3 linked regions of the Notamacropus eugenii genome follow. The protein of the gene in region 1 purifies or fractionates together with the protein of each later gene. This does not show direct contact. Links are inferred from orthologs where the notes say so. Each region holds a gene or a part of one and is shown in the gene's direction. Other genes may lie near its edges. The genes, in order: CLCN4, TMEM9 and TMEM9B.

Region 1 (9,983 bases):
GATATTTTTTATTTTGGCTACCACAAAAAAATGTTTAAAACACAAGAGATTCAAATTGTGTATTATGTATGCTTAAAACAGAAAAAAATAACACATCGTAGTTGTAATACTCTTCCCAAATATAAAGATTATTTTTGGGTACTGAAGAGATATTTCACTTTCACCTCTGACTGGCTCTTTTTGTACAACTCACAAGTATTGGTCTCCTGGATATTCTTATTTCTTCCAGCTCAGCATCCTTCTGGAAGTTTCTTCTGGTGGCAGAGGAACATTTTTTTTAGAAGGAGGCTAGTTGTTATTACAACTTCCCTTGTGAACAACCCACACTGACTCCAGAATCCAGGAACTCTCACACTCACATTGTAGCCACCTAGGCTGGAAATATCCATCTTTTAAGGAATCTCTTTGGTTACCTATTCTTAAAGAAAATCCAGACCATAAAAACCACATAGCAAAAGAGATAGCCAGAGACTTGAGGTCCAGTCTCAGGTTCACCTAGGTAGGTACATTTTCTTGATGGCACTCATGATCTTGAGTCGTAACCACCATCGCTTCTTAAATTGGAGGGAAAAGAAATCTCTCTTCCTCCATTGTTGAAAGTCCAAGGGAGAGGCACAAGCTCCAAGTAACATGCTCAAAAGAATGGATGAGAAAGAGTATCCATGCAATATTAAGAAATCTAAAAGGTCTCTAGAAAGTTAGCTTCACCTCCTCCCTGAGTTTTCAGGACATGGACAAAGCTATGCATGGTAGTAGGAATGGATGAACTTTGATCAACATCGTTGAAGGCAATATCCATAATGATGAACTCACTGATCCATTGGAATACCAAAGAAATAAATAAAATATATTTATTAAATAAAACAAAGAAATGAAATAAGCATTTTTTAAAAAAATAAAGAGCTCAATAATTTTGTTATGTGATCACAATAACACATTTTCCCAAAAGTATTTTTTCTTTTTATTAGTACCTTTTATTTTCATGTTACCTGAATCCTCCTTTGTAACAAAGATTTAAAAACAGACAAAAAATGGTAATTTAGCAAAGTTATACAAAATAACTGTTGTAGCATATGCAATACTCTGTACTTACAAGAGGGATGTGTAGTTTTTGATTTTGTTTTATTTTCATTCAACTTTTTTTAGGTTCCAATCTTGGTATGACACTTAAAAAGCCCCCAGAAACTTTGAAAAAAAGAAAGGAAATAGACTCATTGCTAATAACAACTGCACTGTGTGAATGAATACTTTTTTTGTTGTTCAGTCATTTCAGTTGTGTCCAACACTTTGTGACCCTATTTGGGGTTTTCTTGGCAAAGATATGCTGTAGTAGTTTGCCTTTTCCTTCTCCAGAAGGTAGATTAATAGCTAGATTAATTTTTCCAGCTACATATGCATGTAGAGGAGTCAACAACATTTTTATTTGTGAATGTGAGCCGCAGCATTTTTGCACAAATGTGTCATTTCTGACTTGATTCAGGTTTTGCCTCCACTAGGTCAGAGAAGCTGGTACTTACTGATAGCCACAATCCAAGAAACAGCTGCTACAAAGAAAGTGAACTGCTTTCTCATAGGTTTGCTTGTCGGTGAAGGAGGCTGTGACTGAGCAGGCTGAGGAAAGAGGGATTACCAGCTAGCCCAGGACATGTGATGACTTGGCTGTTTACCCTCTGGGGCATTCTGGGAACATTAAAGGCATAATCTATATTTAACTCTGCCTGTGAAAACACAGTGGGGGAGTTTCAGTCCTTCTCAGTCACGCTGGTGGTAGTTCAAAGTTGAAGTGGATTTCCATAACATTTTCACATTATGCCCCGGGAATCATAAACCAGAAGGTAAGCTATTTAAATAATATGCAATAAAATTCAGAAAATCAAACTTGAAACAGCTTCTTTTAAATCTGGCCTTGCAAACAATTGCAATAGCTGTGTAAACTACAAGGACTGTAGGTGTTCAGAGATCAGAGAACTGTAGTCTGAAGGGAAAATGAATTGATTTGGAGGAAAGGTTGAAGAGAGTTGAAAAAAGGACCAGAAAGTAAATAAGGAAGAAAAGGAAACACCAACTGGTATTAGGAAAACTCCACGTTATTTCCCCAAACTACCACTATTTTGTAATTCTTTAGGAGGGGGCAAGAATTTCTTGCCTTCTCGATTGGTGGGGGAGGTGCTGGAAGGAATGAGAGAATATGGAATTAAAAATTAGTAAATAAGTTTTAAAAAAGGAATAGGGAAGAGAAAAAGAAAATACTGTAGTTTAAACTAGAGTGAAAGTAATAAAACATTCTATAAAAACAAAAAATGAAGTCCTAAGAAGGCTACTACTGCATTTGAGCTTACATATTTTGAAAATATTTATTTTCTAACTATTTTGAGATGGTATAAAAATTCCACTTATTTACAGCATAAACTCTACATTTCAGGAATTCATTTCAAGCTGCTCCAAGTAAAACTGGGACCACAAACAGATTTTTGTCCTAGTCAGCTGAATTTCTTCAGTGAATGAGAAGTTGACATTGTACATATTTTCTGTCTTAGCAAGTTGACTCACTTCTTAAGATCAAGATAAAATTATGACAATGTGAGTTATCTCAGTAATTACTAGAAGTTTATTCTTAGAAAAATCACCATATTAAAATTCCTTGCTTTAAAAGTAAACACATATGCACATAATCCATTCTTTAATTTTAAGTTATAAAGCAGTTGTGAGTATAAGTTGTGTAAGTCTGTGATATCATGTATGTGTCATTTTCATATTAAAATGACACCAAAGATTTGGTATACACGGCACGCATGCATTCACTCAAAATCTCTAATAACTTAGTTTGAAGTCCATTCATGCTGGAATACTATAGTAATTATGTTAGTATTTTTAGCACATAAATATATATGTATGTGTATATTTTTTATCATAATTTTAAGTTACAAATCAGTAGTATAAGTGGTATAATTCTATGACATATGTGTGTGTGTAATATCACAAATACGTTATTTCCTATGCATAAGACAGGTACTGTCCTGTCTGTGACTTCTTCTATATATAGGATATATCTGTGATTTTTTCTACACACACATATATAATTTCTTCTATCTATAGACACTGATTTCTTCTCTATATAGGGTATGATACATATCTCCTATATATAGGACAGGTACTATGCTGTGATAGGAGATCTATAAATAGAGATATCTCTCACAAATACCCTATCTCATATATAGGAGACATCAGAGACTTTCACCATTCCTACTAACTACTGATTTGTAACCCAAAAGTAAAAACAATGCATGAAAGCTGAAAGAACCACATGATTAGTGCAGTATTCCAGCGTGAATGGGCATCAAAAGAAGACGCCAGAAATCTAGAAAGCTGGATGAATGCACGCCTACCGCATGTTTGGTGTCATTTTAACATGAGTATGAAAATACGATTATACTGTTTCTACTTAAGTTAACACGCTGCTTTTTGAAAGGAGACATTCCGTTTCGCTAGTTTTCTCTGCATTCCTGTGTATTTTGCACATTGCCTGACACATAGTAGTGGGCGCTACGTAGATGCTTTTTGTCTTGTGATCCGATATGTTTAATATATTATAAATATTCAATATATCAATATATCACATTATAGGTAATATAATGATGTATTATTAATGTGACAAACACATTACAAATATCAAATATAGTAATATATCATTAACATTATAAATATCAAATGTATTATTAATATATATGTAGCATTATATGATATATTACTAATATATATTATAAATATTCAATGTATCAATATATCACATTATAGGTAATATAATGATGTATTATTAATATAACAAACACATTACAAATATCAAATATAGTAATATATCATTAACATTATAAATATCAAATGTATTATTAATATATATGTAGCATTATATGATATATTACTAATATATATTATATTCAATATATCAATATATCACATTATAGGTAATATAATGATGTATTATTAATGTGACAAACACATTACAAATATCAAATATAGTAATATATCATTAACATTATAAATATCAAATGTATTATTAATATATATGTAGCATTATATGATATATTACTAATATATATTATAAATATTCAATATATCAATATATCACATTATAGGTAATATAATGATACATTATTAACATAACAAACACATCACAAATATCAAATATAGTAATATATCATTAACATTATAAATATCAAATGTAATGCATTATTAATATATATGTAGCATTATATGATATATTACTAATATATATTATAAATATTCAATATATCAATATATCAATATATCACATTATAGGTAATATAATGATGTATTATTAATATAACAAACACATTACAAATATCAAATATAGTAATATATCATTAACATTATAAATATCAAATGTATTATTAATATATATGTAGCATTATATGATATATTACTTATATATTATATTCAATATATCAATATATCACATTATAGGTAATATAATGATGTATTATTAATATAACAAACACATTACAAATATCAAATATAGTAATATATCATTAACATTATAAATATCAAATGTATTATTAATATATATGTAGCATTATATGATATATTACTTATATATTATATTCAATATATCAATATATCACATTATAGGTAATATAATGATGTATTATTAATATAACAAACACATTACAAATATCAAATATAGTAATATATCATTAACATTATAAATATCAAATGTATTATTAATATATATGTAGCATTATATGATATATTACTTATATATTATATTCAATATATCAATATATCACATTATAGGTAATATAATGATGTATTATTAATATAACAAACACATTACAAATATCAAATATAGTAATATATCATTAACATTATAAATATCAAATGTATTATTAATATATATGTAGCATTATATGATATATTACTAATATATATTATATTCAATGTATCAATATATCACATTATAGGTAATATAATGATGTATTATTAATATAACACATCACAGATACCAAATACAGTAACACATCGTTAACACGTCATAAATCTCAAACGTGGTCAGGTATTGATACGTAGCGTTATATGGGATGCTATTAACACACATTACAAACATTAAGTAGATAAATAAGCGCTTTCACTTGCTCTCTTGAAAGTCACAAGGGGACTTAAGTTTAGGGTCTCAGAAATAACTGTTTTTTCCTCCTTCCGTTCCACGTGGCACACGGCTGCGTGCAGACACACCAGAGGGATCCAGCAGGTCTCAGCCCACGGCCCAGAAAGCTCGGAGCGAGGCCGACGCCCCGCCAGCCCAGAGGCAGAGCCCGCAGCCTCCCCCGTGCGGGAGGACCCGCCGCCCGTCGCTCCCCGCGCTCCTCGAGGGACGCTCGGGGCGCGGGACCGCGTCACGTGGCCCCGCCGCGCTGCCTCCCATGACGTCACTGCGTTGGCAGCCGTAGCCGCGGAGAAAGGATGCTCTCTCAGTCCGGGCTGCGCTGAGCGATGCTGCACCGCAGGTAAGAGGCCTCGCTTCCACCACCTGCTCGGGTTTGGACTTTTTCCCTTTCTGCCCGTTTTCCCCTCCCGTCCCTGGGTGCCCCCGTGCACGGTTAGGAAGAGCGGGGTCCGCTCGTTGTAGGGACAGGGGAAGCGTGCAGGTGCCCGGGCCGTGTGCCGGCCCAGCTGGAGTGTCCCGGCCGGCACCCCCCCGCCCAGCGGGGCTGGGCCCAGTGGAGCCCCGGTCCGGGGGTGGGGGGTGGGGGCGCGGGGGCGGGGCTGGCCGGCAGGGGTGGGGGCTGGGGGCGGGGCCGGGTGGGGGCTGGGGGCGGGGCTGGCCGGCAGGGCTGGGGGCGGGGCCGGGCGGGGGCTGGGGGCGGGGCTGGCCGGCAGGGCTGGGGGCGGGGCCGGGTGGGAGATGGGGGCGGGGCTGGCCGGGGGGTGGGATGGGATGGAGTGGGGGCTGGGCATGGCTTCCCTGGCGGACGCTCGGTCCTCAGCTGTGCAGGAGATGGGCAGGCTGGGTTGCGCAGCCTTGGACGCCTTGGCTCACTTCCTGATTTGGAGACGAACAATGCCCCGAAGGCAAGGCGGTCTTCGTTGAGAAATGACCAGGTCGCAGATGCGGGGACGGAAACGGGAAGCAGGCAGGCTCCGCGGAGCCCCCTGCAGAGGACTCAGGCTGCGGTCATGAGCTGGGCTTCTCCCCTTCCGTCCGCTTTCGGCTCCCAGCATTTTATCGCGGACACTTCCTGCTAGTTAACCCTTTAGAGGCTTAGCCATTGGCACGTCGTTCGGTAGCTTTTTGGAAGCCTGGTTTTTCTTAGTTTTATTTGGCAGGATTTTAGAGTAGACATGTTTCTCCTGGATGAGTGTGGGTTTTTTTTTAAATAATGAAATACCTGATTTTTTAGAAATATTGTTAGCCCCCAAAGTTCTAGGAGGGAGGATGATGGCAGCATTTCTAAGAATAAACTGGTTTTTCTTGGGAGGAAGAACTCCAAATGAATTAATAAAAGACTCTAGCTCCCCACGTTTTTGAAGGACTGAATGGAAGCTGGGGAGATTTGCCAGAGGAAGAAAGAGCTGTGAGTCAGCTGCTGATGTGGGAGCAGTGGGGGAGGGCTCAGGTGGCTTTTCTTCAGAGCTCAGCTTTGGCACAGAATTCCTGGCCTGTTTGCTCATAAGGAACTGTTTGTCTGGGAAAAGTCTAATTAGGGAAATTCAACACTCTTTTACATTTCAGGGATAGCAAAGCAGTTCTTTAGAAATGCCCGCAGTCTTAAGTATTTTTTAAGACACTAGTATATCTGTGCAACCAAAAATGGTTTTTGTTCCCATGACTGCTTGCATTTCAAGTCTACTGAATTGCTGTCTTTTTAAAAGGAGTAAAATGAATTTGGATTTGGGATATTTTTACATCTTAACTTGGGACTAACCTGAGAGGTGGTGGTTGTTATCAGTCTGACCAACACCTGAGAAACTGGGTTTACACTGTGTGTGGATATCTGGATTTACATACAGACAAAATTTCACTTTGCAGAAAGATTCCTCTTTAGATAGCCAGATTTTCTTGTGCACTTGAAATGACTTGAGCAAATTTGATTTGCACAAACGTACCTTTTGAGAATTTAATCTGCTATGTCAAGGGAGATAAGCATGTGGATTACTATATAATATTTACCATGTAAAATTTACAAAGCACTTCCTTCCCAAGGACTCTGAAATAAATAGGGCAAGATTTATCATCTTTTTTTGCAGAGCAGGAACAATGAGATAAAGTGACTGAGATCACAGAGCTAAAAAGAATCAGGGCCAGGATTTGAATCTAAAATCTGACACTTTTTTACAGTGTAATACTATGCAGTATTGAAAAAATAAATTGTTTCTTATTCATAGTGCCTTTCTTATGGACCCTGCACACTTAAATATTATGCCACATGGTTCAGTAGTTCTTAAAGGCATTACTGGGGGAAGGTAGTGCGCATTAGTACCCTCAGCAGAACCCTGTAATAAGTTGGAGACGTTTAATCCAAGGAGGAATGCAGCTAGGTGTTGCAATGGATGGAGTGCTTGGCCTGGAGTGAGGAAGACCTGAGTTCAAATCTAGCCTCAGGCCCTGTAGCTGTGTGACCCTGGGTAAATCACTTAACCTCTCTTTGCCTTAATCCACTGGAGAATGAAACAGCAAACCATTCCAGTGTTTTTACCAAGAAAACCCCACAGGCAGCATATTCCATGGGTCATGAAAAATTAAAGACAACTGAACAGCAATATATAAAATAAATGCAAATATACATAAAAATTAATTTTGTGTGGGTAGGGGGCATACTAGGAACTGGATGAAATTAGGCAAGTTTTCATCTAGAAGATCATCTTGGGATGCTGGCAGTGGCACTAAGGATCCTAAGAGGAAGAAATGCATCCCAGTATGGGGAACAGCTAGTGCAGTGGCAGGAGAGAGGGCTACTTATGAGGAGTAGTAAAAATGCTGTGCATGAAATAAGCTGAGTTGTCAAGAGAGTGAAATGATATTCAGAATGCTCACTAAGATGGAATATTTCCATCAAAAAAGGTTTAAAAATAGTGTGCACTAGTAATTATCAGGAAGAATATCTTATCTAGACTTTCCAGTTCCTTTCTAGTGCCAGAGGCTAGAACTACACCTCTGGTTTCATTGTTAAACAGACTGAGGAAACACCCTCATGATTCCCTGATCATTCTAGATAAGTGAGGCATCTGAGAAAAGTGTCTGTGATCTAGTGGTGTGATCTTGAGCAAATCTGACAATAAATCTCAATGGAGGTTGAGCCTGCTTGAAACTATCACAACTAAAACCTTTAGTATATGCTAAGTATTTAGAAGCTTGAAACGACAACTTTTATTAAGCAAAATGAAATAAAACAAAAAGCCTCAACTTTTTTCCAAAACTTAAACACCAAAAAAAGAGCATTTCATATACACAGCAGGACACAAAAGAAGTTTCTCAGTAAAAGCTTGAACCACCATTTTATACCATTTGCTTTTTAAAGAAAAATATATAATAGATTCTACACATTATTGAAATGACTGTATTTCAGAAGAACAATCAATGATATGGCTTTGAATTCTTCTGGTTTCCATTGGAAAATTTATTGAGAGAAAGGAAGGAATCATTTTTCTGTGACTTCTTTGAGAGAGAATGAATGGTATCTCAAATGAGTAGACTAAAGTACTAATTCTCTTTTTAAAATTTATTTATTTATTTATTTTTAAACATTCACTTCCATAAGATTTTGAGTTCCAAATTTTCTCCCCTTCTTTCCCCTCCTCCAACCCCAAGACGGCATCCAGTCTGATAAAGGCTCTATGTATACATTTATATTAAACATATTTCCACATTAGTCATGTTGTAAGAAAGAATTAGAACTGAGAGGAACCATGACAAAGAAAAAACAAAAAAAGAGCAAATGTACTTCTCAATTCTAAGATGGCAAACACAGTTATTATTAATTGAATGATTTAAGTACCACTGCTTACCCAACTACTCCAGTGGATCTTCCATCTTGATCTTATCTATGTATTCTCAAATGATTCTCATCACAAACGATCCATGCGTGTCTATCCTTTGTGACTCTTTTCTAATTCATCGTAGGGAACTTTTCTTCAGATTGTCTGCTCACTTGCATATCATAATCTAGGCAGTAGACATTTTTCATCCACTTGACTCTTCCTATGTGATAAGTTGGGTCACCCTTTTTTAGTGATTAGCAATCTCCTCTGGGAGATTTCGGTATTCATATAGGAGCAGCTAGGTGGTCTAGTGCATAGAGTTCTGGTCCTGGAGTCAGGAAGACCTGAAATCAAATTCAACCTTAGACATTTGTTAACTGCATGACACTTGGCAAGTTACTTAACCTCTTTGCCACAGTTTCCTCATCTGTAAAATGGGGGTAGTAATAGCATCTACCTTAAAGGTTGTTGTGAAGCTCCAATGACATAATAATCATGAAAGTGCTAATAAGCACAATTACTTGGCACATCGTGGGCCCTATATAAATTGTCATAGGCATTGATACAGTTAGCATAATTTCATGGATAAACGGAAGCATCTGAAGGACCTCAACTTATCACAATGAATCTTTTCCTTTTCTTAACTTGGAATTTGCTCCAGGCCTTTTATATGCCCTAAATAATGCGATACTTTGCTTTAAATGACATAATATTTCAAAGATCTGTGATTTTTGTCAGTGGGGCTAGTTCCTCCACGGACACAATTCATTTCCCTCCCAGATGCATTTTAGTCTGATGTTTTTGAGAATTGCTGTAGGTGAAAAATGTACTACTCTGGAGCAAACCACTGGTTGATGATGGGCCTCTCTGAATCTATCTAGGCTGGTCCTCTGACAACAGACCTGGGGTTCATTGCCAGGCTCACATGCATAGCCTCTGCAGTTAGGTAGCATTGGCTTTGCCTTTGAGAACCCCTCCTAGGTAGGCAG
Region 2 (10,418 bases), on another chromosome or scaffold:
ATCAGTTGGGGAGTAGCTGAACAAGTTGTGGTATATGATTGTAATGAAATATTATTGTTTCATAGGGAATGATAAGCAGGATGATTTCAAAACAATCTTGAAAGATTTGATATGAACTGATACAGACTGAAGTAAGCAGGACCAGGAGAACATTGTACACAGTAACAGTAACAGCAACATTGTACAATGAACAACTGTGAATGACTTAGTTATTCTCAGCAATACAATGATCCAAGATAGTCCCAAAGGACTCATGATAAAAATGCGATCTGCCTCTAGAGAAAGAACTGATAACATCTGAATACAAACAGAAACATACTATTTTTCTTTCCTTCTTTCATTTTTTTTGAGTTTCCCTCCAAAAAATGACTAATATGGAAATATGTTTTACATGATTGCATATGTATAACCTATAGCAGATTGCTTACTATATCAGGAAGGAGAAAAAGAGAAGGAAGGAAGAATAAACTTTGGAACTCAAAACTTTAAAAAACCTGAATGTTAAAAATTTTTACATGTAATTGAGGGGGAAATAAAACATTATTTTAAAAAGAGATTAACATAGGGCTATGGGGTAAATGATTCAAATGTAAATGACAGTGTTTAGAAAAAGAAATCATCCGTTCCAACTCTATTATATAGATGAGGAAACCAAAGGACACAGAAGTTTTGTGATATATAGGTGAAATAACAGTTACGATTTGAGCCCAGGTCTTCTGATTCCAAGGCTGATACTTTCTCTATTTTACTATGGAAAGAATAAGGGCTTTCCTCTTTTCTCCCCTTTCTATTTTGTGAAGGAATTCTTGTATAGCACATCAACTGATTTGATCCCAATAGACCAGATTCCATGGCAAACTAAATAGTACTAATGTATTCCTAATGGTCTCATGGCCTTGTTGGGATACAGTTGGATGGGGGGAAGGCAAGGGAAGGACCGAAGTTGAAGAATGAGAAGGAATTGTGGAGATTTGAAGGATCTGGGGGTTTTTATGAAAGCCAAAGATTGAAATTGGAGAAGGTAAATTTGGAGAGACTTGAGAAGTTGGAGGAAGAGTAAGACAAGAATTTGAAGAAAATGAAGACTCAAGCAGAAGGACTAGGGAAGGAGTGGAAGAATGAGCTGAGGAATGGGAAAAGGAGAAGAACCCAACTAGTTAGAGTAGAAAATAATTCAATGAAGAGGATGATCCAAGGAAGGACCAAAAGAGAAAGTTGAATCAGAACAAGGAGAAGAACTCAAGGAGTAGGAAGAGAAAGAGATGGAACCAAAAAAGAAAAGAAAGAAGAGTAATTGATGAAAACAAGGAAGAAGCTAGCAAGACAAAGGAAAGGATGCTAAAATGAGATACTTAGCTGTTTGCCACAGCAGTTAAACAGAGGCGCTACTAGCAAGAATAACAAGGGGCCCAAGATTTCACTACCTGTAAGTATGGAGAGTAGGAGAGGTTTTCTAGAGAATATAACAAAATGTATTTCTGGCATGATTAATTGACTATTACCCATGCTCAAAGGATAGGATGGTCACTCTCATAGAAAAGAAAGTAAAGGAACTCAAGGCCTGACCCTCTACCCTTCAAGTTATCAGAAAAAATGAAGGGTGTTTTTTTAATAAAATGGAATAAAGACTTTGAGTGTGAAAATAAAGAAGAGGCAGGGAGAGTAGCTCTGATCTGTGCTAGGAGGCTGGAGGATGACATCAAGGAGAGAAGGATGACCGACCTCTCGAAACTAAGCAATAGAGAGGAGATTCTACCCAAAAAGAGATTTGCACTTGTCCTCCAAAACAATGACAGTTTGTACCCACAGGACACCATAAGATAAGACATTATCTAAAGAGGATAGATGAAAAAGAGAAGGGCCGTGCTGCAGGGAACCAAGGTAGCAATTTGTTAGCTGCTAGTTAATAATAAACTTGTGAAACTTCAAGTCCACCTCTTGTGGGGTGGATGTGGGAACAAATGATAATTTAAGAAAGAATATAAAAGCATTTCCAGGCATTAGAATGTTGTGGGTAAGACAATAAATATCTTAGGAGAAGGTTCAGGTGGCATTTTCATCATTATTACTAACTGAGAGTAAGGGTTTCAGAAGAGAGAGATAGAATTAGGAAGTAAAGGACTGGTTAAGAAGTGACTGCAACAAAAAAAAATGTAACAATGACAGGCTTCTAATGTGATGGAGTGCACCTAATAAGAGCTGGCCAAAATGGAAGAAGAGTTTTGATGTGAAAACAAGAAAAGGGAGAGAAAGAAAGACTAAAGTATGAGTTTCTACAAGAGGAAAGATTTTGTCTAGAGTCTTAGAAAAATCTAATCAAAATGGCTTTAACTTAAAGGAAAGAAAAAGGGCAAAGTGTTTATATGTATCCACCAAGCTTGATACACAGAGGGGCATGTGCAGTCAAAAGAACCGCATCATATCCTCAAATCCACAAAATCCAAAAAAAAAAGAGCTAGTAAAAAAATACATGAGCTCAGATTTCTTTACACAAATGTACAAAGTATGAGTCACACAAGGTGAATTCCAGAGAGTCTAACACAGGGAGGTAAATTTAAAACCCTAATATATATATATACATATATGTGTGTGTGTATATATATATAACTGAACCTTGGTAAGATGACTGAAATACAACTTTAATAACACAACTGAAATAAATCTTTAGAAAGCTATACTTTATTCTAAAGGATAAGACTAAGTAAAAGGAAAGTGGGTAGGAAGAAAGATGTGTAAGATAGCACCATATTGTAAAAAGATAGGTTGTTTGTCCTTATTTTCAAAGAGGACCAGTGATATCATAGGATGGTGTCTTGACTTGCTCATGACTTGGATTTAAGGGAGGCAGAGTTGTACAACGTTGTCAGTCTACTCTCTCTTCCAGAGTTATCAAAGTCCAGTGACAAGACAAAAGTCTGGCAATGACCCAGGGTGCAGGGGATGACCTTGAGGTCTTCTATATCTGATCAGGCTCTAAGTGCTCCACAGTGCCTGCTTCAGCCACCTTCAGAAATGTTGGAATAGCATGTTCTCATCCACACATTCTGCTGGGGAAAGTCCTCACACGCTTGGGGTAGACACCCCCCTAACTCCCTGACAGGTTTGAGGCCCAGTGGTTACCCTTGCCATGATTTAGCCCCATGCTGAGGTGGTTTTTCTAGTGGGGGCCACTGTGCATACTAGTACTTCTTGGAGTTGAGTGCCAGGTAGACACCAAAGGTGGCTGAGCAACCCTAAAAAGGGTCCTTACATCAGAGATGCTAGTCATCTTGGAACACCCCCTACATGTACTTGTGGGAGGAAATCTAAGAAAAGTCTTATTCTGAAAGAATTCCTACATTGCCTAGGAAGCAGGAGTAGCAAATTTAAGCTTTATAGGAAGTGATGGTACAGTTTGAGCAAAGCCTCCAAGTGCTGTCCAGAGCAAGGAGCCAGAATATGCAGAGCTATACCCAGGCAAGAGAGAGGAAGATGATGGGCAGAGCTCGAAACAACCTGAGAGTAACAAAATTCCAGAAGGAGAGATCTGTGCCTCAAAGAACCCTGGGCTCAAAGACTGGGACTAGCCCCAAGGAGGGACTACAACTAACCAGCACTGAGGTGCAGAACCACAGTGAGAAGGAACAAATTCAATCCTTGTCATTCACTGATTCTGAGTCATGTCAAGGTGTCAGTGTGAAGGGGAGAAGCTAATTTTCTACTGACTAGTTTTGAGGGGGTAAGCCTCAGCTCCTAGTGTGGAGCCATAAATTTGGAATGATTCTTTGGATGAAAGGGACATTTTTCTGGACTGCATATGGGTTCAGATACATGTCCTTTCCTTATTCCTTATGTTATGTGATAAATTTGGTTTTTGTTCTCTGCTTTGTTTTTTTAGCATGGTGTTTACAAGGGAGCAGAGGATATGACAGAAATAAGCCAAATTCTGCTGTTCACAAGAAAGACATTGACTTGGGGGCATAAATCATGATGAGTAGCTTTCAAGAAAGAAGATATTCTGTGTGCATCTAGACCTTTGGTAATAGGCCATGGGTTACTCTTCCATAAATATAAAATTGAACCTTTCATTAAAGTCCTATTCTTCCTGAACCCAGGTGACCTTGGGTTCTCAAAGGCAATGGCAGTGGAGTATAAATTCTGGAAGGTTCTAAAGTATCAACTATAGGTTGGCAATAGAGACTGCTTGTTTTCTAAGGACAGTCTACCTAAGTTTAAAGAGACTCATTAGCAGATGGCTGGTCATTCCATGACTTTCATTTTTTGGCTACATCAACTCTTGAAGACAGTCTACTCAGGCATGGAGGGGACAATAGGTATCTGTACAAGGAAAATACACACCAATAAAACAATAGATTCTTGAAGTAATTAAATAAAATGATCCTTTGATTCAATATTGTTAAGTTCATTTGGAATTGGGAGAGAATTGTACATTGGGAAATGGGTCTATGGTAGGAGTTCTTAACCTTTTTGTATCAAGTATGCCTTTGGTTGTCTCTTGAATCCCATGAATCTCTTCTCTGAATAATGTTTTTAAATGCCTAACTCAAATGCATGGGATTACAAAGCTTTAATATTGATTTTAGTGAAACAGAGCTATCAAAGTTCTTTTACAAACAAGTTCTTGGAACTCGCATTAAGAACTCTTATTATTATAGTATATATGAGGTGTCATATATGTGCAGTGGACATTATATATAGCATATATTACATTTGGCATATGATAAAGATAAAATCTTTAATATTTCCCTTGACAACTTTGAATATATGAGGAATAGCTACCTTATTACCAAGTATTTTAATACTTTGGTTTAGATGCGTAGGAGTAACTAGGTGGCACAGTGGAGAGAGTACCAGGTTTAGAGTCAGGAAGACCCTATCCACTGTGCCAAGTAGCTACTCCCTTGGACAGGTATAGGAAGAACTTCTTCTTCTCCTCCTCTTCTTCTTCTCTTCCTTTTTTCTTCTTCATCTTCCTCTTCTCTTTTTCCTCTTCTTCTCCTTCTTCTTCCTCTTCATCTTCTTCTCCTCCTCTTCCTCTTCTTCTTCTCCTTTTTCTTCTTCCTCTTTTCAAGTAATTCATACTCACAAAAATAATAAAGTGATTCACAGGAAAGTGATAAGGTATCAACCCACCTATAAAATAAAAGGATTGGACTAGATATCTATAGCCACTTTTAGCTCTAACATTCTAAGATTCTTCAGGGAATGATATACAAAATATATTCTCTAGAGGTAAATACATTATAAAAGGAGACTAATAATAATTTATATGTTGTTGTTGTTCAGTCATTTCAGTCTTATCCAACTCTGTGACCACATTTGGGGTTTTCTTGGCAAAGATACAGGAGTGGTTTATCATTCTTTCTCCAGCTCACTTTACTTAGTGCTCCAATCTCTGTGCCTTGAAAATTTGCAGAGGATGTGGGTGGAGAGGTTTGAGCCTAGTGCTCTAGCTGGCCACTTGATTCTCTCGGCACAGAGACCTCAAAAGCAGTAATGCTGGTCACAAGGGTACTTCCTACTGCTACCTGTAGAACCTAGCCTGGGCCTTCAGGTTTGGAATTCAATTGAATCAACAGACATTTATCAGGTACCTCCTGTGTGCCAGGTATCCAGCATAGCCAACAGAAAAATGTCCTTGAAGTCAGTTTCACATTCCACCATTGTTGAATACTAACTATGTGACAAGGGGCACATCCCCTTACCTCTCAGAGACTCTAACCATGGGCAGTGATAAGTAGGACCTCAGTGCAGTGAGCTGCCTTGGAGAAGTTCCCTACAATGATGAATTATGGGTTTGCACTGAAAACAAAAACAAGGAGCCAACAGCACTGCAACAGATATTCAAAACAGTTCTTACCCTCAAGCCGCTCACAATTTACTGAATCATAAACTAATTGGGAGTCACGGAGCAGGTGATGCACACCCTGAGGCCCCAATAGGCTCTTGATAAGTAGTTTTTTAAAAGAATGAATGCATGCCACCTTTTAAAAGTCCATCAGGTAGCCCCGTACTTCTGAATAGCATTAATACACCTCTAAATTGGGCTGAGATGGGTGTAGGGTGGGAAGTAGGGCAGAGAGATGTCAGGGCACACTGCCTGCCAAGAGAGTTAGTTTTAAAGCTCCTCAAACTCTAGAGGCAACGTGGAAGGCCTCCTATATCTTACATCAGCAGGAGCTGGTTAGGAATCCCACCCCTGATACTTATTGTCTAATGACCCTGGATAAGTCATTCTCTCTGTACTTAATCTGCAAAAAAACAAAAACAATTAAACACAGTGGCCTAATTCTTGCAAAATGCAAGGACACCCCCTACTGGGGGTAAGGACTCTGACAAAAATGGCTGGAAAAATCGGAAAGCATTTTGACAGAAACTGGATGATCTCGCCGGCAGTGGAAGCGCGCAGTTTGGATCAGAGGGTCCGAGGTCTGCTGAACGCTGGAGGAGAACTCAGAAAACCTTCTCATCCAAACCTCTCCCCAAACCTGCCGCGGCGGTGACTTGCCGAAGGCTGCGCAGAGAGCTCCAAAGACCTGAGATCCTGCACTCTTTTCTCTACGCAGGAGGACCGCGTGCCTTGAGAGGCTGGAGGGTGGACTCGAGTTTCAGGTGGGCAAGGTGACGCCAGGCACCTTCCAGTTCTCAATCTGTGGATGTTCTATAGACCTTTCCAGTTCTGGACTTCGGTTTTTCTGCCCTTCGTTCGGCGACGCTCCCTTTTCTTGCCCATTTGGGGTTAAGAAATGCCCTCCGATCCCTGGCAGTACCTTCCAAACGCCCCCCCCAAGAAGGCGGGTCTTTGTTGCCGTGGAGACAGCCTGAGTCGGGGAGAAGGGCACCTCCAAGAGCCAATAGGAGCTGCAGTGGGGCGGGGCCGTGCTGGGCCCGGTGCTGATGTGGAGAGGTTCGGAGGTTCGCCGCAGGACTGCTGGGGGAGGGGCGCGGGGGCTCGGGGGCTCGGGGCCCCGGGGCCTGGGGTGGGGTGCGGGCGGCTCCGGCCCGTCTCTGCCGGGCGCGGGGGGCTCTGACTGCTAGAGCTGGCCTCAGACGGGGCTGGAGAGGGTTGCCGGGGCTCCGGGCCTGCGCCGGGGAGCAGAGGCTGGAGCAGCTTGGGGCGGAGAGTGGGGACCGGGATGCGGACAGGATGCACAGGGATGCAGGCGCTCGGACGGGAAGCGCACAGCGGGGGGTAGGGGCACCGGGGCCGCCGCCGCGGTGCGCCCGGGGGTCCGGGCGGAGCGCTGTCAGCCTGGATCCGCGCTGCCCGAGGAACTCGAAGCACCGTAGAGATAGGAGTCGGGGGCCTCCCCCAGCAATTATTCTCTCCCGTTCTGACGATCGGGGGGACCTGAGACCCAGAAAGGGGTCACTTATCTAAGAAAAGAACCCAGGCGTCCTGCCTCCGAGCCGAGTCGAGCAGGGTGCAGTCACTCGGGCTTTGGGGACTTGGGGGAAAACGTGAATGTCGACTTCACTTCCCGCTTTTCACTTCCCTCTTCCCCAGCTCCTTGTCTCTCTTCCAGGTGACTGGTCATGCTGACCCAGCGAGCCTTGACAAGCATGAAGCTCTTTCCCCTGGTGGCGCTGGCCTGCTGTCTGGCCATCCCCCCAGCTCAGGCCGGCAAGGTGAGCGCTATGGTCTGGGCAGATGGGGAGGTTTGGCTTTGCTGGTTTACGTAGCGGCGGCCAGAACCTAGCGCAGACTTGGCCCTCCCTAAAAGTACCTGTAAGTCCCTCTGTACTTTGGGGATTCGGGAGATCTACGCCAGGTCTCGTGGTCCGGTCCTCTTAGAGTCAGAAGACTTGAATTTCGGCCCTAAATCCCACTGGCTTCTGCTTCTCATAGCCTCAGTTTCCTCAGATTACAAAATGAGAGAAATTGCTCTCCCCCTGCCCCCAAAGAATTGTTGCTAGGAGAATGCTTTATAAACCTTAAAATGGAATATTAATTCTCTGATCCTGTGTTTCGGTTAATAAATGAACATTTTTGTCTTGGTCGTCGGTTCAATAGATGCTTATCAAGGACATACTGTTTACAGGGTAATGTACTGGGGGCTGGAGAAGCTGCAATAATTCAATGAGACACAGCCGTTGCCCTCAGGGAGCTATAACAGAGGTAGAGTGATAGTAGAATCCCTGGTGTGAGAAGTTTTTTTTTTTCTCTGGTCCCTGCCTTGTATCTAATTTTGTGTTTATTCCTTTGTATTCTGCATATACTTATATATATCCTGGTTGTCATTTCCATTCTAGAGTAAATTCTTGTGCATAGGTATTGTGTCATTTGGGGCAGATAAGTAGCACTGTGGATAAAATGTCTTGCCTGGAGTCAAGAAGACTCATCTTTCCTAGTTCAAATCCAGCCTCAGACAGCAGCTGAGTGACCCTGGGCAAGGCACCTAACTCTGTTTGCCTCAGTTTCCTCATCTGGAAGTAAAATGACCTCAATGGGGTCATGAAGAGTCTAAAAAGACTCAATGACATTGTTTAATTTATTGTACTTTTAATCATTCCCAGTGATCACCTAACACAATTCCTGGCACAAAGGAGGTACTGAATAAATGGCTTGTTGAGTGATTAGATTAGAGGACATACAAGAAGTCAGAAAGACCTGGGTTGGAATGCTGTCTCTGACTGCTATGGATTACTTAACTCTAACTTTTGCTTTCTTTATCATAAAATTGGGAGGTGGAGACCTGTAGTACTTGTTCCTCAGAATCCTCAGATGCTCAGATGAGATAATGTCAAGTGCTTACAAACTTTAAAGTGCTGTGAAAAAGTCAGTCTTGTTTTTTACTGTTGTTGTTATGAAGACCAGGATAGAGATGTGTCAAGGGGCAAGCATCCTTTCTGTGGCTTTGCCTCAGTTTACCTCATTGTGAAATTATCATACCTCCACTCCACTCCACTCCAGAGTTCACAGACCTAGGCATTCTTTCTCCAGACCCCTAGAGAAAGGCAACCCCTATTGCTGTTCAGTGGTGTCTGACTTTTTGTGACCCTATTGAGGGTTTTCTTGGCAGAGATACTGGAGTGATTTGTCATTTCCTTCTCCAACTCATTATACAGATGAGGAAACTGAGGCAAACAGAGTCAAGTGACTTGCCCAGGATCACATAGCTAGTAAATATCTGAGGTTGGATTTGAACTCAGGTCTTTCTGACTGAAGGCCCTTGCTCTATCTGCTGCACCGCTTAGCTGTCCCACTTAGAACCACATATCTTAGGCAGGAAAGGACTTTAGAGATTGTCTAGTTTCTTCATTTTACAGATATGGAAACTAAGACCTGGAGAAGTTAAGGGATTTTCTCAGGGACACAGCTATGTAGTGGCAGAGCCAAGATTAGGCTCTAAGTGTCTTGCTCTGTTCCAGTGCTCAAGCCTGCAGCTTTCTTTCAGGACAGGAGGCTGTTGCTAGCTGAGTCTAGGTCCAGGAAAGATGAAGATGCAAAATCAAATTTGATGAGTATTAAAGAAAAGTGCAGCCTTAATTCTGAGTCAGAGAGAAAGCTTTGCTAAGAAGACCTTGGTTTTTCCCTTTATTTCCCCAGTTCCTGGCACATAGTCAGCACTTAATAAATGCTTGTTAGGCAGGTAGATGGTGAGAATAGAGCAGAATAGGAAAAATCTGAGTTCAAATTAGCCTCAGACCTTTACTAACTGTATAACCCTGGACAAGTTATTTACCTCTGTCTGCCTCATTTTCCTCAACTCTAAAATGAGGATAATAATACCCAACTGCCAGAGTAGTTGTGGCTTGAATGAGATCATTCTAAAGCTGTTAACACAGTGTCTGAGACACAGGAAGTGCTTAACAAGGCTTGATAGGGGAGTCACAAGGCAGGGGCTTTTGCTAGGAGTTGGTGCCCTGCCTCCCAACCTGATCTTCGTTTCCTGTTCTCTTCCAGAGCTCCGAAGACATCCGGTGCAAATGTATCTGCCCACCGTATCGTAACATCAGTGGACACATTTACAACCAGAATGTGTCACAGAAAGACTGGTAAGGCACTACTCAGTTCAGTCATCATTCCTCACAGGGGCTTCCTCAGGAATTCATCAGTGTGCCTGTCCTTTAGGGCTTCAGATGGAGCCGAGGCCACTACTTGCCAGGAATGCTTAGAGGACATTGCTGTTTAACTATGGGTTGCATTAGATGGCCTCTGAGTTAGATTGTAACTCTGCCACTCATCAGCCACATCTAGGGTCGAAGATTAATTGTAGATCTTTTGGAAACTGTTTTTTCATAGATCTCTGGGGAAACAGCTATTTCTTGGAGAGATTGAGGAAGTAAGCTCTATTGAGTCACTCTATCATCAAAAATGGGGCCTGGGTTCCCTGTCTCCCAAAAGAAGTGGTTTGGTGATTTCGTTGTTGTTGAATCATTTCAGCTGTGTCCAACTCTCCATGACCCTATTTGGA
Region 3 (10,006 bases), on another chromosome or scaffold:
TGATCAAATAAGATAATATCTGTAAAGTGTTTAGCACAGTGGCCAGCACATAGCAAGCACTATGTAAATGCTAGTTATTATTATTATACAAATATGAATAAAGTACAGTCCCATCCACAGGTTTCTACTTCCCAGAGCTCACGAGAAAGCTAGTCCCTGCAAGGGGTGGAGGGTAGTTTTCTGAAGGGCTGTGGGAAAGCCTAGAGGGAGTCTGGGGCTGGTCTCACCTCACTCTATGCTTTCTGTTCGTTTCTCTTGACTTTTCATGGCTCCTGGCCTCTTAGGTCGAGGTTTCAAGGCTTTCTTGGGGTTAGTTCAACTGAATGAAGATGTTCACCCAGATCGACTTTCAGCAATGAAATCCTTTGGACTGAGAAGTTCAGAATCTCACTAAAACTCAGAACTGAGGCCTGCTCCAAGGAAGATAGTTGGGAAATGGGCCTTGGATGACTCAGAGGTGAATTCTCTTAGTCCATTTCCTTGGACACTGAAGTCCTAATCCCACAGAAACCCATCCTGCCTAGGGCAACGGGCTAAAACAACAACCCTGACACACTTCCAAGATGTCGCTGTGCTAAGATATAGATCCTCTAAGGCTAAGAAGGCCCCTGGCTTCACTTGTTGGGGTCAGGGTCCAGCACATGGTCTGGTATCAGGTATCAGAATCTCCTCAGTTTGAGAAATTCAGCAGCACGAATATCAGATGCTTCATCGATACTTTTTAAAGAGAATGATTTCATATCACAAGGGAGTCAGGGGTGTTTGGGGGAACTTACAGGAACCAACGGACGGCTGGGCCTGTACTTTGGACTGATGAATCATCATCCTCTCCACAGTCTTTTGCTCATATTCCCCAATGCGATTCACTTCAATAAGCATTTATTAAGTGTTTACTATGTGCCAAGCACTGTGTTAGGCACCATGGACAAAAGGTAAAAAATGAAGAGGTCACAGTCTCCCAGGAATTTTCAGGGTGGGGATAAGGAGCAGAAAGGATAATGACAGTATGTACATAGATAATTACATAAAATAAATAGAAAGTAATTAGTAATTTGGGAAAGGGGGATGTCTTGTAGAAGGTGGAGCCTTAAAGGGAACTGTCGAGGTTGGGAGGGGCAGAGGTAAGGAGAAAAGGCATTACAGGCCCTGGGGGCAGAGGATAAATTATTATAAATACGATGCTGGGTAAATAGAACCATTTGGAGGTCAGTTTGGCTGGAGGGCAGAGCGGTTGTGAGAGTAATGTATAATTAGCCTGGGAAAAAAAGAGGTTGGAACCAGTTTGTGAAGGGCTTTAAAGGCCAAAGGGGTTTGCATTTGTAAGGTAATAGGAAGCCCTGCTTCTTGAACAGAGGAGTAATGTGGTGGAACTTGTGCCTTAGGAATATCTCCTTGGCAGACAGGGCCTGAGGCTGGGAAGGAAAGACCCCTGAGGGGTTGGACTCAGACCAATCCTAACCAACAGAGACTGTCTTAGACTACCTCAGGAGATCGCCAGAGTAGGATTGTTGTTGTGTTTGTCCTTTGTTGTCGAAGAGGACCATGACATCAAGATGACGACATGACTTGCAGTTGACTTTGATTTGAGGGAGGGAGGGCTGCCAAGGATCGGTGCCTCATCTGTCAAGCAATGTTGACAATCTCATGGAAACTGATGTTTCATTTAGGGCTGTGATGGTCAAGGCTGGGGCAGAAGGCACAACCTCAATCTGGGCTTGTCTGTTCTGAATGGTAAGTTTCACTGTGATCCTTAGCCCTTTCAGGTCACCAGCTGCCTTGGCAATGTCACCACCATCCTTTCTGGGAGACAAACCCAAGGGACCAATTTTAGGAGTGAAAGCTGATGTAGCACCAGCTTTACCACTGGTGCACCTTAAAAACACGACTTTAATTTCATGAAGATCAAACTTGGGCGGCATGGTGGCAGTGAAGGTGGAGGCTTGGCCTGGAAGCTGCAGGGTGGCTGTAGGTGTCGGCTGAACCCTGATTCTGGATGACGGAAAGAAGCTGCATCTTCACCACCACAAGCAGGGAGCCAAAAAAGCTGCTTATCCCCCTCTTGAGGAGAGGGTAGAAGAAGGAAGGAAGGATAGAATTTGGAGCTCAAACCTCAAAAAAATGTTGAAAAATTGTTTTAATATGTAATTGGGGAAACATGAAATTTTAAAAAATGTGAATCTTTTTGGATTTGAAAAGCAAGTGGGTCCCACAGTACCCTTAAGAGTCCACAAGCACTCACATCCCACAAATCTATATCGCTAAAAGATTTACACAGTAATTTCCACACAATCCTGAGGCAAGGGAGTTGAGGGAGAATTGTTTTTATTTTACAAATGGGGAAACTGAGGTCTCAAAAGTGGAAGATGCCCTTCACACAGTGGCAATCAGGAGTAGAACCTAAGTGTCCTGACTCCAAGTCTAGTCAATCAATAAACATTGATTAAGGGCCTACTATGTGTCAGGCACTTCACTATGCACTGGGAGTATAAAGACCCAAGTACAATGTGGCTTAGAGATCTTTTTCTGTACTAACTTAAATGAGAGGAGAAGAGATAAAAGGTGAGTAGGAATCACTGACAGACAGGGCAGCTGGGGGGTATCAGGAGGATCTGAATTCAAATCTGATCTAAGACACTCACTAGCTGTAAGACCTTGGACAAGTCACTTTACCCCAATTGCCACAAAAGAAAGTTATGGGTCATTTGTACTGGGTTTTGTTTTCTTGTTCTCTCAATGTGTAGGAGAGGGGGTAGTTGGAGAGGAAGAACTTGGAACTGAAAATGAAATTGAAATGTAAAAAAGAAAGTTATCTGTTGACTGTGGCATACTCTTTGATCCAACATATTCCAGAGATCAAAGAAAGACACACACACATACACACACACACACACACACACACACACACACACACACACACACACAATTTCTTTTTGTAGTGGCAAAGAATAGGAAACTAAGAGGGTGTCCATCACTCAGAGAATGGTAGAACAAATCATGGTATATTAATATAATGGAACACTATTGTGCCATAAGAAATTATGAAAGAAATGGGAAGACTTGAATAAACTTTATTTTAAGAATTTTAAAAATATTTTATTTTTTCAATAATATATAAAAATAATTTTTAGCATTCATTTTTTAAAATTTTGAGTTCCAAATTCTCTTCCTTTCCCCACTCTCCTTGAAAAGGCAAACAATGTTGGGGAACAATTTTTACAGCCAATGTCCCTGGTAAAGGCCTCATTTTAAAAATATATAGAAAACTGAGTCAAATTTATAAGAATACAAGTCATTCCCCAATTGAGAAATGGTCAAAGGATATGAATAGGCAGTTTTCAGATGAAGAAATTAAAGCTATCTGTAATCATATGAAAGAATGTTCTAAATCACTATTGCTTAGAGGTGAAAATTAAAATAACTCTGAGGTACTACACACCTATCAGATTGACTAATATGACAAAAAAGAAAACAATAAATGATGGAGAACATGTGGGAAAATTGGAACACTAATACATTGTTGGTGGAGTTGTGAACTGATCCAACCATTCTGGAGAGCTATTTGGAACTTTTCTCCAAGGGCTATAAAACTGCATATACCCTTTGATGTAGCAATAGCACTACTAGGTCTATATCCCAAAGAGATCATAAAAATGGGGAAAGGGTCCTACATGTACAAAAATATTTATAACAGCTCTCTTTGTGGTGGCCAAAAACCGGGGAATGGCTGAATAAATTGTGGTACACGAATGTAATGGAATACTATAAGAAATGATGAACAGGAAGACTTCAGAGAGGCCTGGAAAGACTTATATGAACTGATTCTGAATGAAAGGAGCAGAACCAGGAAAACTCTGCACACAGCAACAACCACAGTGTGCAAGGAATTTTTGTGGTAGACATTACTTCACAGCAATGCAAGGACCTAAAACGGTCCCAGTGAACTCTTGAGGCAAAATGCCTTCTACATCCAGGGAAAGAACTATGGAATTGGATCACAGAATGAAGCAGAATATTTTCTCGTGTTATGTTTTGTTTTGTTTTGGTTTTCTCATGGTTTTTCCCATTCGTTTTAATTCCTTTAAATAACATGACTAAGGTGAAAATGTATTTAATAAGAACGTATGTGTAGAACCCATATAAGATTGCACGCTGTCTTAGGGAGGGAGGGGGGAGAAAAGGGAGAGGAAATGGGAGAAAATCTAAGACTTATGGAAGCGATTGTAGAGAACTGAAAACAAATATTAATTAAAAGAGAGATAGAATAAAGGCATCTATGCAGTGAATTCAATGGAATATTATTGTGCTATAAGAAACGATGAGCAGGAGGACTTTAGAAAAATCTGGAAAGAAATGATGGTGGGTGAAGTGAGTAGAAGTAAGAGAACATTGTATACAGTAATAGTAACAGTAACATTGCGTGATGACCAAGTTTGATAGACTTAACTCGTCTCAGCAATTCAAAGATCTAAGACAACTGCAAAAGACTCATGATGGAAAATGCATCCACATCCAGAGAAAGAGCTATGGACTCTGAATGCAGATGAAAGCAGACAATTTTCCCTTTTTTTTGGTTGTTTCTTTCTCTTGGTTTTCCCCTTTTGTTCTGATTCTTCCTTCACATCATGACTGATGTGGAAATATGATTCATATGATTGTACATGGATACTTTGTATCAGATTGCGTGCCGTCTTGGGGAGGGGGAAAGCAGGGAGGAAAAGAAAATCTGGAACTCAAAATCTTATAAAAGAGCATGTTGAAAACTATCTTTACATGTAACTGGAAAAAAGAAAATACTAGTAAGTGGCAAAAAGAAAAAGCAAGCAATTTGATTTAGCGTGTGTAAACTTGTATAAACTTAAGCAAAGGTAGCACATCAGACCGCTTTATACCATAACAGCACTGTGAAAGCCAACAGCTCGGCAAGACCGAAGAATCCTGATCAAAGTGGCGCGAGGCAGCCGGGTGGTTCAGCGGTTAGAGCTGGCTAGACCTGGGCTCCAAGGCAGGCGCCCTTGATGGACCTCTGTGCGCTTCAGTTTTCTCCGTAAAATGCGGACGATAGTCACTGCCGCTTCCCAGGATGGGGGTGAAGATAAAATGAGCGGTTATTTGGAATCTGCAAATGGCTAAGCGAACGCCGGCTGTTGTTATTTCAATGCCATAGTCAATCAGCATCCTGGAGGAGGCAGCGTGCGGCCACTCCCAGAGGCAGCGAGCCAGGAACGGGGCGGGGGGGGGGGGAGGGGAAGGGAGGGCGGAACCTCTGCTCGCCGGCCCCCAGGCGCGCGGCCGCCGTTTCCGGGGGGAAGACCTTCTCCGGAGGACGCGGGGCGGCCGAGGCGGAAGTGCTGGGACGGAAGCGGAGCGGCGCCGAGGCCGGGCCGGACCGGGCCGAGATGGCGGCGGCGGTGGCGGCTGGGACGACGGTGTGGAGCGGCTTCCTGCGGCTCTGCTTCGTGTTCGGCCTGTCCTTCCTGGCGCTCACCGGGCTGCTGCTGGTGCAGCTGGCGAACGCGGCCAAGGTGAGGCCGGGCCGGGCGGAGGCGGGGGCCTGACCGGGACCCGCGGACCCTTCTGCGGGGGTCTGGGGGGCGGGCCTGACCGGGACCCGCGGACCCCTCTGCGGGGAGCCTGGGGGGCGGGCCTGACCGGGACCCGCGGACCCCTCTGCGGGGGCCCTGGGGGCGGGCCTGACCGGGACCCGCGGACCCCTCTGCGGGGAGCCTGAGGGGGCGGGCCTGACCGGGACCCGCGGACCCCTCTGCGGGGAGCCTGAGGGGGCGGGCCTGACCGGGACCCGCGGACCCCTCTGCGGGGAGCCTGAGGGGGCGGGCCTGACCGGGACCCGCGGACCCCTCTGCGGGGAGCCTGAGGGGGCGGGCCTGACCGGGACCCGCGGACCCCTCTGCGGGGAGCCTGAGGGGGCGGGCCTGACCGGGACCCGCGGACCCCTCTGGGGAGAGCCTGGGGGGCGAGCCTGACCGGGACCCGCGGACCCCTCTGCGGGGGCCCTGGGGGGCGGGCCTGACCGGGACCCGCGGACCCCTCTGCGGGGGTCTGGGGGGCGGGCCTGACCGGGACCCGCGGACCCCTCTGCGAGGCCCCTGGGGGCAGGCCTGACCCCACCGTTCAGAGGAGACTGAGGCAGGGAGGGTGAAGTGCCGGCGCCGTGGCTGAAGAGCCGAGTTCGAATCCTGCCCGCGCACTTCCCACCAGAGGAAGCCCTAATTCCAGCGCCCACCCCCCAGTCATCTCCTGTTTATCCTGTACACATGTGTTTGCTCGTTGGTCTCCTCTTTCGGGTGTAAGCTCCTGGAGGGCGGCGGCACCGTCCTTGGCACATAGTGGGCGCTTAGTAAGTGGTTACAGGCTGCAGCACCCTGAGCGCGTCCCTCAGCCTCTCTCTGCCTTCGTTTACGTCCTCTATAAAATAGGGATAATAATAGTAACGGCCGGCCCTCCCCGTGAGGGTCCAGGGTGATGCTACTTGGAAAACGCTTTGCGGACCTTGGCACAGTGTAGAGGTGCCAGCTGTTCATCGTCGCTGTTGTTTTATTGTTACTCTTGGGGTCACACAGCTTAGCGTTCCTGGAAGCCGACAAGTATTTATCCAGCTCACCCTGTGCCAGGCGCCCCCTGCTCTCCTCCTCAGAGCTCTGGTCCCCACAATTTGGACCCCAAATGGGGTCCTGATGGAGGCCTCCCCGAGGTGCCGGTCCTGCCAGGAGCCCCTGGAGCCACCAGCTGCGACCCCCCTCCGGAAGGAAAACAAAACAAGTCAGATCCTGGGCAGGACGTTCTTCCTATTTCCAAACCTAACAAGGAGACTCCTCCTCACCCCTTCCATTCCCAAAATTCTAAACCTACAGGAGCTTAAGGTTGGTCAGAACAATACAACATACACATATATATGTTTATATAAATATGTAAACACAAGAGAATTTTTTTCCAAATCAGCAAGAATTTATTAAGCACTTACTATGTGCCTGACACTATGCTAAGCTGTAGGGATACAAAGAAAGGAAAAAAATAGTCTGTGCCCTCAAGGAGCTCACAGTCAAGTGAGGGACACAACACGTAAACACCTTTGTACAAACACAGTTTCTCTAGGATAAATTTGAGATAATGTCAGAGGGAAGATTAAAAAGGTTGAGTTGCCCATAATTTTTGTGCTTCCCAGACTTGCTGGCTGTGTGATCATGGAATAATCTTGTAGTGTGTTTCCGTCTCTGTGAAATGGGATGGTAGTGCCTCCCTTTCAGGTGGTTATGAGGATCAAATGAGATCAAATGTAGAAGGAGCTTAACACAAGAGAATTTAAGGAGGCTTACGGCACTGACAGTGCAGGAGAAACAGGTAAGGTTTCCATGGCAGGTAGCACTTGATTTGAACCTTATAGGAAGCAAAAGAAGTGAAGAGGCCATGTATTTCCTGGTGTGGGGGACACCTGTGTGCAGGTACTAGTAGGTTGGTGTGGCTGGAATGTAGAATGTATGAAAGGAAGGTCTTCTGAGAGAAGACAGGAAAGTCAGGGCTTTAAAGGTCATAATGAGGAGTTCATATTTAAACCTGGAGGAAGTAGGAAGTTATGAAGATTAGCCCAGGTGAGGGGTGAACTCTTGGCCAGAACCAGGGTAGTGACTGTGTGCCAGATGCAAGATGTCTGGTGGTAAAATCTACAGGAGTTGAAAAAGAATACTCTACAGGGGATGAGGGTAAGGGAGAGCAAACGTCAAGGAAAGGTGTGTTAGAACAGGGACTTGAAAGCAAATCTATAGTCACTGAGTAAACATTTATTAAGTGCCTACTCTGTGCCAGGGTCTGTGGACTGGGGATACAAAAACAAAGAATGAAACATTCTTTCATCCCAAGGAACTGACATTCTAATGGAGGAAACAGCAAGTAAATATACAGAATGCCTCAAAAGTCTTATTGCAGCTTTGCATTTTAGTAGTTTTAGTAGCTTAAGATTGCCCTAAAACGCTGGGGACACACTGTGTAAGTGTATAGGGAATAGATACAAAGAGGATGAATACAAGGTGGTTTGGGAAGGAACTAGCAATTGAAGGGCTCAGGACAAGGCTTCATATAGAACTGTGTCTTAAAGGAAGAGAGGGGTTCTGTGAGGTGGAGGTGAGGAGGGAGTATATTCCTACCACAGGGATGGCAGGTACAAAAGCATCAGGATGGTGTATTGTGTGAGAAAGAGAGGATCACCTTGGCTGGGTTGCAGAGTGCTGGAGAGGGAGTTGATCTAAATTGATTTAAGGGTTTTTTCTACTATACCACACTGTCTCCTGTTACACTTCTTTGGATCCCTGGAAGCACTCCGTTTCCTGAATCTCAGGGCCTCCTCCCTTCCCAGCTCTTAACCCTTAAAGACATTCTGACCTTTTGAGTGCTTTTGGCCTAAAGTTTTCTCCTTCCCTTTCTGCGTTTGACTATGTGGTTAATCCCAGGTTGTACAACACTCCCTTTTTTTCATTTTCTGGTTGTCAGTGATCTCTCCCTCCTCAAATTATGTACTTCCTGAGGCAGCCCATTTTATAGTTGGACAGCTCTAATTGTGAAGGCCTTCTTTACATGAAGCTTATAGTCTTCTGCCCTTTTGGGCTAAGCTTAATAATTCCTCTTCCGCATGACAGCATTGAAGGTATTTGAAGATTGCCTTTCCAGTCTCCTAATCAACACTAGCTTGCTTCTTGGTCATCATTCTTTTGCCAAGACTTTGACCCTAATCCAAAGAGAGTTTCCTTGACCTCCAGTTTCTACATCCCATAGCCTTGTCCTTACAACAAATGGATATGCTGGGAAGAACTTTTTACCTGTCAGACATATAGAATCTTTATCTGTGTTCTTCCCTTCCTGCTTGTAAATGGTATCCTTATTCATCAACATTGTTTTATTAGGCTTTCTGCTGACCTTGATGAAACAAGAAATTCCCAGTAAATTGGCTATAATGTGATCCATAAAAAGTGGTTAAAGATTTATAAACGCCAGATGTTTTATAATACTAATTGTTGTAAAAAGAGAAAAGTATCTTTTATGTAATACTTTTAGGTGACAACTCAAATTAAACTCACTAGAAAAGAATTCTGCTTAAAAAACTACCTCATTGTTGGAGTTTTAAAATTTTGGAATACTTCTAGAGTTCAGTCAGCAGAAGGTACTTTGTAAAGTGTGTCCTCTTAAATATGGTGCATGTTAATGTATTACATAGCAGCATTTTGATGCAGAATGCTCTGTTTTGGTTGCAGAATTTTGAAGATGTCCGCTGTAAGTGTATTTGTCCTCCTTATAAAGAACATTCTGGATACATTTATAACAAGAATATAACTCAGAAAGATTGGTGAGTATTCTGAAATGTTGAGCTAACTGTGAAATCTCTTTCCAAGGCTATTTTTACTGTCCTAGAATTACTGCCTACTGTAGGTAGAATTTTTTCTTCTTCAGCAATAATCTAATCTTTTCACTCCTAGAAAACAGTCACTGTAAAGAGCTGATTGGATCTGGCAATGCCTATTGGAAGTAAATGTCAAAATAACGTAAGCTTGTGTGCTTTATGTATACTTTACATATATTCTCAATTAATCCTGTCAACATATTGGTGGTGTAGGCAATACAAGTAATCTTATCACCATTTCTAAGACTCTGAGAGGGTAGTAACCTGCCCAGGGTCACATAGCTCATGGAACTGCAGCCAGAATCAAGAGCTTCTCAGTCTAGTAGTGTTCTTTCCTTCCTTCTGTCCTTCCTTCCTACTTTTCTCCCCACTCCTTTCTTTTTAGTGTAGCCAAATTGAATTTACCCAGGAGATGAGGTGCTCTACTTGAGTAAGGACTCCAAAATGTCCATAATCATCTTCTGTATACTTCTCTTTTTTTAAAAATTAATTTATTTTAAACTTAAATACTAAAACCTAAGTACACAATAAGAAAAGAAAAAGAAATTATTACAAACTTAAATGCAAAATAAGGAAAAAAACATTGCCATGTACACAGCAGAA

What was found.
Region 2: the proteins of CLCN4 (region 1) and TMEM9 purify together in Homo sapiens (co-immunoprecipitation; 3 studies listed by BioGRID and IntAct, with this or other methods). This does not show direct contact. The link is inferred for Notamacropus eugenii from reciprocal best matches to the Homo sapiens genes CLCN4 and TMEM9.
Region 3: the proteins of CLCN4 (region 1) and TMEM9B purify together in Homo sapiens (co-immunoprecipitation; 3 studies listed by BioGRID and IntAct, with this or other methods). This does not show direct contact. The link is inferred for Notamacropus eugenii from reciprocal best matches to the Homo sapiens genes CLCN4 and TMEM9B.

The regions. Positions count from the first base shown.
Region 1 is NC_092876.1:381,961,587-381,971,569, reverse strand, and holds the start of CLCN4 (H(+)/Cl(-) exchange transporter 4), read left to right. Parts: upstream 1-5,394; 5' UTR 5,395-5,522; intron 5,523-9,983. UniProt on the Homo sapiens protein: Strongly outwardly rectifying, electrogenic H(+)/Cl(-)exchanger which mediates the exchange of chloride ions against protons.
Region 2 is NC_092873.1:439,454,707-439,465,124, forward strand, and holds the start of TMEM9 (proton-transporting V-type ATPase complex assembly regulator TMEM9), read left to right. Parts: upstream 1-6,582; 5' UTR 6,583-6,770; coding exon of another isoform or gene 6,771-7,351; intron 7,352-7,434; coding exon of another isoform or gene 7,435-7,536; coding exon 7,537-7,629; intron 7,630-9,907; coding exon 9,908-9,999; intron 10,000-10,418. Other genes in the region: IGFN1 (immunoglobulin-like and fibronectin type III domain-containing protein 1), read right to left, coding at 6,771-7,351, 7,435-7,538. UniProt on the Homo sapiens protein: Transmembrane protein that binds to and facilitates the assembly of lysosomal proton-transporting V-type ATPase (v-ATPase), resulting in enhanced lysosomal acidification and trafficking.
Region 3 is NC_092877.1:36,417,174-36,427,179, forward strand, and holds the start of TMEM9B (transmembrane protein 9B), read left to right. Parts: upstream 1-5,261; 5' UTR 5,262-5,396; coding exon 5,397-5,522; intron 5,523-9,257; coding exon 9,258-9,349; intron 9,350-10,006. UniProt on the Homo sapiens protein: Enhances production of pro-inflammatory cytokines induced by TNF, IL1B, and TLR ligands. Has a role in TNF activation of both the NF-kappaB and MAPK pathways.